Linked DNA regions of Xenopus tropicalis. The protein of the gene in region 1 interacts with the protein of each later gene in a pairwise test. Links are inferred from orthologs where the notes say so. Each region holds a gene or a part of one and is shown in the gene's direction. Other genes may lie near its edges.

Region 1 (4,164 bases):
AGAATGACCGCTATGGTATCATAAAGACTTTATGTCACATAATCAGTCCCAAGTCTCTAAAGCATTTGAAAATACCTTTTAAATTAAGAATGGTGGCTTTTAATTTTCCGCCAAAATTAAGCCATAATGACACATTGTAAAAGGTGTTACTATTTAAAGGTAATTTCTTTTGGGATGAGCAGCACCCCTTTAAGCCAGAAAATTAACTGAACTATGGATATACAGATATAGAATTCAAATCGAGGCACAAGGTATCTCTGGTGGTGCATTTATTTTAAGTAACTGGCACCACCCAAGGTATTAGCCTTTCCTTGTCCTTTAATAACTGTAGTGGCATGTATCATTTAACTGGCTGGCCTTTGCTATATTATCCAGATAGCATCTCTGCTTAGGAAAATGCACACAACCAGTGGCATGAATAGATGTCACTTGTCCCAAAAGAATTCAATTTAGGGGCCCAAATCGTTGGTAAATTGACCTATCCTATCAAGATATAGTAAAACTGCTCACTATTCAGGGCCGTGACATACAGGGAGATTAGAGCTGCCATGACAAATCTCTGTTGTTGCGGGCGACTAATCTCCCCGCAATGCCATCCCACCGGCTACAATGTAAATCAGCGGTAGGATGGCATACGCAGCGCCGCCATTTGCCAAAGTCGCCTTGAGAGGAAATGTCGGTGACTTCGGCATATCGCAGTGCCGTGTATGCCACGGGATGGCATTTGTTGTGGTGCAACTAATCTCCCTATGTGTCATGGCCCTTACTGGGCCCTCTACACTCCAGGGCCCCCCTGCAACCACATGGTCTGCCTCCTTTGTAGTTATGCCCCTGCTTTATTTTTTTTCTAGATAACAGATGTAGGTCATGACCAGTCATAGGACTTTTGAAAAGGAAGAGAACAAAAAGTTCCCATACAGCAGACTAAGCAGGAACTTCTGGATTTCCAATACGAGTCAGGTGACTAATGCATGTTGTGGCATATCTATTTTGCTGAGACAAATGCTTACTAGGGGCAGGTAGTCAGCCCATCCTCTAATAAGAATTGCATAGCTCTGGCAGGCTACGACCTTTGGTTTCATAGAAATCTGCTGCTAAAGCCAAACTTTACAACACTGCACGACTCTTCTGTTTAGCGCTGGGGTCCAGTGACACATCACGTGACTGAGCCCTGCATGAATGGAGCCCGGGGATTCTGTGGCGCGCTGTTACGTCTCATTTGTGGGGCGGGCCAAAGTGACGTGAGCAGGGACCCTGTCAGGAAGTTCTTCCTGTGGGCCGCCCAGACTCTTGTATTGCGCATGTGTCAGGTTCGCCATTTTGCAGTGTACTGTTGTGCTAGGTTTCGTTGTGCGGGGCGGGGGAGGCAGAGCACACAGGGCCGGCACTGCACGGAGGGAGGAAGCCTGGCGTACTTAACGTGCACTGCAGCAATTTAAGGTGACTCAGTCAAGTACGGAAACTGGGGCAATTATGGCGAACATCGCAGCACAGAGGATCAAAAGGGAGTTCAAGGAGGTGCTCAAAAGCGAAGAGGTGAGAGGAGACAGAAGTGCGTCTGGCTATATACAATGAGGGGCAACAATTGGTGACAGTGTGCTTAAGATAAATCCAGTAAACTGCTCTAAAGAGGTAGTATAGAAGGCTGCCACAGCCAGGCATGCCATGGGGAGGGACTATTGGAGTGTATTAGAGACTGATAGGGAGAGGGACTACTTGACTGTATTAGAGACTGCCTTGGAGAGGGACTGCAGAAGTGTATTAGAGACTGCCTTGGAGAGGGACTGCAGAAGTGTATTAGAGACTGCCTTGGAGAGGGACTGCAGAAGTGTATTAGAGACTGCCTTGGAGAGGGACTGCAGAAGTGTATTAGAGACTGCCTTGGAGACGGACTGCAGAAGTGTATTAGGGACTGCCTTGGAGAGGGACTGCAGAAGTGTATTAGAGACTGCCTTGGAGAGGGACTGCAGAAGTGTATTAGAGACTGCCTTGGAGACGGACTGCAGAAGTGTATTAGGGACTGCCTTGGAGAGGGACTGCAGAAGTGTATTAGAGACTGCCTTGGAGACGGACTGCAGAAGTGTATTAGGGACTGCCTTGGAGAGGGACTGCAGAAGTGTATTAGGGACTGCCTTGGAGAGGGACTGCAGAAGTGTATTAGGGACTGCCTTGGAGAGGGACTGCAGAAGTGTATTAGGGACTGCCTTGGAGAGGGACTGCAGAAGTGTATTAGGGACTGCCTTGGAGACGGACTGCAGAAGTGTATTAGGGACTGCCTTGGAGACGGACTGCAGAAGTGTATTAGGGACTGCCTTGGAGAGGGACTGCAGAAGTGTATTAGAGACTGCTTTGGAGGAGAATTACAGAAGTGTATTAGAGACTGCCGTGGAAAGGTACTATAGGAGTGAATTGGAAACTGCCATCAAGAGACTACAGGATTGTGTAGAGACTGCCATGGAAAGGGACTGCAGAAGAGACTACAAGATAGTGGTGTGGGGGTCAGGAAAAAGTCAACCTGCAACTGACCGTATCCCACAAATTGTTGCCGATATAGGATTTGCATTTAAAACACGTACTTGCGTCTTTCTACATTGTTTGCTGCTCTCGCCTTAGGTTCCAAGGAAGGGAAAGTTCAGGAGCAGAGGTGCTTCCCTAGTCTGACCCACACCCAACCTGAACCCACAACACCCCCCAACCCTAACCTGCCTGACCTAAGGGTAAAATGCAGGTTGTGGGTCAACCCGCTCATCACTACTACAAAAGTATGTTAGAGATTGATAGGGATAGGTTTGACATGAGTGTATCACGGGCTGCCATGGAGTTTTTTTTATGGGAGTGTATTAGGGACTGCCTTGGAACGATTTGACAGGAGTTTATTAGAGACTGCCATAGAGTGGGGCTGCAGAAGTGTTTAGAGTCATGTAGAAGGTACTAAAGGATTGTATTAGAGACATGGAAAAGTAGGACAGTTGTGTAGAAAAGACTGCAGTTCCCTCTGGCTCTCCCTTCCAACTTTTTCTCTCCTTATTAATGGCCCTTGAAATCCATTCAGTGAAACTTCAGAAATGAAATCAAAGGGGGATATTTATCAAAGTATTAAACTACAGCTTGCCATAGTCAGCCACAGTGAAATTTCCCTCATTATATTAATTTCTATTCAATTAGTGAAAACATATTTATCAAAGTGTAAACTCATTTATATGTATTGATAAATATACCCTCTAAAGTTTCATATTAATGTATAAAGAGTAGCAGAATTTCACTCTTGCAGACTATGATGACTTCTAGATTCAATCTTTGGTAAATATGTGGCTTCTGGTCATAATCACTGGGTAACTCTGTGAAACAGTGGAGTGCAAATTTGTTAACTGTAACTTTCTCGTGTGCGCTAGATCAAAGGCTGGCATTGCCGCATATCCTCCTGCCACTTTATGGAGAAACTTTCATTTGAGACAGCGTGCTGCCCATTCATTGAGAAGCTGCATCTAAAAATTGTTGCAGTTACAAATTAGGATTAGTAATATCGCTCACCATATTAAGAAATACACATTTTCTAATGTTATAAAGTAATTGCTTATTTCTTCTTTGTCCTCCATTTATTTTAGGTTAAGCAAGGGCCACAAAAGATTTTTAGAAAGTATCATAACATGCAGCACTACACCCCGTTTGTCTTCACTTAGCTTAAGCTGCAGTGTTCACCAGAGGTTTTTAGTGGTCATTTCTGCAATTTTACTTTCTCCATGAGCAGCAGAAGCTCCTAGCCCTGGACATAGGGCTAATGTATTTGATCTGCCAGATGGGTCAGTAGCCTGCTGACTCAATCAAGAATCGCAGCCAGTATTTGCCCTATGTATGGACACCTTAAATTCTGAACCTTTTATTAGGCTGAACCTGGTGCAGCTAGTTGGATTAGAATGCACATAATATCTCAGTGATACTAAGTGATATTTAGTAATACACATTGCTTTTTTTTTTGACGAGGGTCTGCTCAAGTTGTGCAAATAGATAAGTCCAGCTATGGCTACAAGCAGCCACAAAAGCTGTCTTGACTTCTTAGTAGAAAAATATATCCCCTTATTTTATTTTCATTTTCTTTATTGTTGGTGTATTTATTGGAATTTGGTAAATTATTAAAAGGGGAATAACACTCTAAAGTAATTTTAT
Region 2 (4,089 bases), on another chromosome or scaffold:
CAGTAAGGGGAGTGTTAGCATATCACTAGGTCCGCCACATAGTGAATAAGAATGTTTATACATATGTCTATGAAGATTTTCATTCATCCAGGTCATGGTATATCTAGTATAAATAAATTTAAAGCAACTGGACTTGTTTGGTAATCATTGAAGACGTTTCACTACTCATCCGAGCAGCTTCTTCAGTTCAACTGACTGGTATGGGAAGTCCTCAGCATATATACTCTTCCACTAATCCAATCACAATGGCACTTAGTAACTCTTCAGAAAGGTGACATCTGAAACTCACAGAGGTGTGAATGCTGTGGAGTTACTTTGAAAGGATTACCAAAGTATCATGCAACTCTTCAAACAGGTGTTACTTGTTAGAGTTGCATGAATGCAACACCCAAAGAATCCAACACCAAAGGAAAAACAGAGCAATGTTGTATACGCAGTCCAGTGTAGCGAGGAGTGCACAGACCTGTACATTGGTGAAACAAAGCAACTGCTCTCCAAGCGAATGGCTCAGCATAGGAGGGCAAACACTACAGGCCAGGACTCTGCTGTATTTCTGCACCTAAAAGACAAGGGACACTCCTTTGAAAATAGCAACATCCGCTGGTTTTAAAGAGGTGTAAAAGAGGCCATTCATGTCAAAGTGGAGAAACCATCCCTTAACAGAGGCGGGGGACTTCGACACCATCTGTCTGCTACATACAATGCTGTTCTAACATCTGTACCCCGGCAGTTTCAGAACTCTTCACACATCCATTCATGCAACTCTAACAAGTAACACCTGTTTGAAGAGTTGCATGATACTTTGGTAATCCTTTCAAAGTAACTCCACAGCATTCACACCTCTGTGAGTTTCAGATGTCACCTTTCTGAAGCGTTACTAAGTGCCATTGTGATTGGATTAGTGGAAGAGTATATAAGCTGAGGACTTCCCATACCAGTCAGTTGAACTGAAGAAGCTGCTCGGATGAGTACCAAACAAGTCCAGTTGCTTTAAATTTATTTATACTAGATAATGTTTATACATAGTACTTTTCTCTAATGACTGTACTGCCTCAACACACTACCACCATTGAGACTGTATCCTAAAGTGACTTCTCATAACCAGTATTATGACACATAACTAATGGTACAATCATTTATTAGAGATTTGCCATAGCGAACTAGAAAAACAGATTGCTGACGCCAGCAAGGTCTCTTCCCACCCTCTCTGACTCTATAGGTTCCACAGATCACGTGTCACAGTACTAACCAGCGTCACAACGAGGCTTGGAACGCGGGTGTTTGAGGAAGTGATAGAGAAACTAAAGAAGGGGAAAGAAGTCTTAGATGGCGGGGCAGCAGATGCAGTCCAGCTCCGGGGGAGCCCAGGACAACGACATTTTCGACAAGTACACCTGCCCCATCTGCCTGGATCTCTTCGACACCCCAATCAGAATGGTCTGCGGACACGTGTAAGTGCCTGACTGTCTGTCCTAAGCGGCTGTGTACAAGATCCCAAGGGAGATACGTGGGTCTTCTCTGGTGGGAACTTGCCGATCAGGGAATTTTAACCTGTCAATCTGGTAAACTACAACTCCCAAAATCCCATTGGCAGCCATTGGGAGTAGAAGCTGTATCTTATAGTCGGCTTCCCTAATGTTGCTATAACTGCCATCATCCCCTGACATATAACGAAGGCTTACTGTCAGTTGTAGTTCTGTAAGATATGAGGACCCAAGAGTAAGACTGCATACAAGCTCAAGATCTGTATGTATATAACTCCCATGAACCAGGGATATTTGTAAGTGAAACTAAATAGATAGCTACATAGGGTTGAAAAAATACCAGAGTCCATCAAGTTCAACCCTTCCAAGTAAACCCAGTTATTGCTTGTGGCAACACTATCACTTTCACTTTACATTTCTCCAAGGCTTGTGTTCTTATATAAGTCAATTTATATTGAGTTTCACAGCATGAGTTCTTTTTACATGAATATGTTCCCAAAAGTAACATAAAGCAGGCTTTTTATCAAGGAAAACAAAAATATTTCAATACTTGGGCTACAATGGTATATTTAACCTATAAAAATGCAGGTAGCCTGATTTTACAACCACTGCTGGCTGGCAGAGTCTGATGGGAATTGTCATTAAGCAACAACTAGAAGAGGGATAGGAGGAACTTCCAGTTAAAATGCAAATCTTTCTCCAAATGCTGTACATGCCTAATAAAATAAATTGAAATTGAAATTAATTTTTCAATACACATTAATTACAGACGTAATAGCTATTTAAAAGTGTGTCTGTTGGTTCCTTTCTATTCTCTGCCCTGGTGGTTCTAAAATTTGGAAACAATGTAACAGAAGCCAGTTGAACAGACTTGGGCCAGCCCATGGGTTAAAGGAACAGTAACACCAAAAAATGAAAGAGCTTTAAAGTAATAAAAATATAATGCACTGTTGCCCTGCACTGGTAAAACTGGTGTGTTTGCTACAGTAACACTACTATAATTTATATAATAAGCTGCTGTGTAGCCATGGGGGCAGCCATTCAAGCTGGAAAAAAGGAGAAAAGGCACAGGTTACAAAGCAGATAAGTTCTGTAGAATACAATAGTGTTTTATCTGTTATCTGCTATGTGCCTGTGCCTTTTCTCATTTGAATGGCTGCCCTCATGGCTACATAGCAGCTTATTTATATAAATTATAGTAGACTTTCTGAAGTAAACACACAACTTTTACCAGTGCAGGGCAGCAGCACATTATATTTTAGTTACTTTTATACACTTTCATTTAGAGGGGAGAAACCAGGTGAGGTATGGTGCGGGTCAAGGTTTTCTTGACCTGCACTTCACTATTACCAAGAGGTATGCAGGACTTACTGCTGATATATTGTTACAAGAGATGTAACCAGCAGTGCTCAAATGGACAAACACACACGACTTTTAATAGCAATTGCATTTATACACAACTTTAAAACCATTGGCAGTTGTTACTAAATGTATATTGGAAAGCCGCCTTTTCTTTCATTATGCAAAATGTTTATATTTGTGTTTGCTTCCCCTTTAGAGGGTGGCAGTTACAAAGAAACCAGTTTGCATCTGTCCCATCCTTTGCAGAAAGGAAAAATACAACTTGTATGGCACAAAGTGTAAGACTCAATGAAGGGGCTCAATCAAACAGTGGTGTAGGGTTCGCCAGGTTCACTTCAATAAGTACCATGTAAAAATAAAAAAATCTACTGGAGAGCCAAATGCGTTCTGTGTTGTTTAGAGATGCTTAGTATTTAGAGTGCTATGCATCTCTAAACCAATAAACAACACAGAATGCATTTGGCTCTCCAGTGGATTTTTTTATTTTTACACCATTCTTTGAATAACTAATGCATTCTACAAAACCAGACACTTTGTGTCAGTAAATTCACAAAAGCACAGTACAAAGCTATGATTTTAGAGTTTTCATTTTAAGAACCACTGTGTTTGGTTGGAACAATGTAGCGGAAGGCAACCGTGCAGTATTTTTCATAGCTAAACTAGCCAAACCGCTTCGGCTACATTGTGTTAAAAGTGATACTACCTGGGTAAAGGATACAAATCACTTTAGAATCAGTAAAAATATGTAATGATTGTATAGTGGAATTTTATTTAACTTTTCAGTTTTTTGGGGGTTTATATCCCCTTTAACTGTCAACTAGTCACAGAGTTTCAGGAAGTGGCGCAGTTTTATGTGTGGGCGGACAGTGTGTCTTGGCCTAGTGAGGAACAGCTGTCTGACCACATATATACCCACATCCTGAGACACAAAGTGATATAAATGGAAATTTGGGGCATGAACAGCAGTGGACTTCTGTAATGATTAACCCTTCATGGTCTGTAGATTGTAGTATCTACGTGTGCAGTATTATATTGACATTGAGTGCCAGAATACAGGGTATTCAGTGCAGGATCTCACTTGCTGAAAGTTAGGCAGCACTTAATGGGTTAAAGGGAAATTTCATCTAAATAATTTTGATTGGCTGTATGGCTTTTTTTCTCTGATTTGATAAACGGTAAATTACTACCCTCCCCAGGACCATGGATGCAAAGGGCACATTTCCTAAAATATATTACACAAGCT

What was found. The genes of interacting proteins can lie anywhere in the genome.
Region 2: the proteins of ube2k (region 1) and rnf114 interact in binary tests that used the Homo sapiens proteins (3 or more experiments, as listed by UniProt). The link is inferred for Xenopus tropicalis from reciprocal best matches to the Homo sapiens genes UBE2K and RNF114.

Annotation. Positions count from the first base shown.
Region 1 is NC_030677.2:36,220,715-36,224,878, forward strand, and holds the start of ube2k (ubiquitin-conjugating enzyme E2 K), read left to right. Parts: upstream 1-1,362; 5' UTR 1,363-1,473; coding exon 1,474-1,536; intron 1,537-4,164. UniProt on the Homo sapiens protein: Accepts ubiquitin from the E1 complex and catalyzes its covalent attachment to other proteins. In vitro, in the presence or in the absence of BRCA1-BARD1 E3 ubiquitin-protein ligase complex, catalyzes the synthesis of 'Lys-48'-linked polyubiquitin chains.
Region 2 is NC_030686.2:36,174,155-36,178,243, forward strand, and holds the start of rnf114 (E3 ubiquitin-protein ligase RNF114), read left to right. Parts: upstream 1-1,284; 5' UTR 1,285-1,326; coding exon 1,327-1,451; intron 1,452-4,089. UniProt on the Homo sapiens protein: E3 ubiquitin-protein ligase that promotes the ubiquitination of various substrates. In turn, participates in the regulation of many biological processes including cell cycle, apoptosis, osteoclastogenesis as well as innate or adaptive immunity.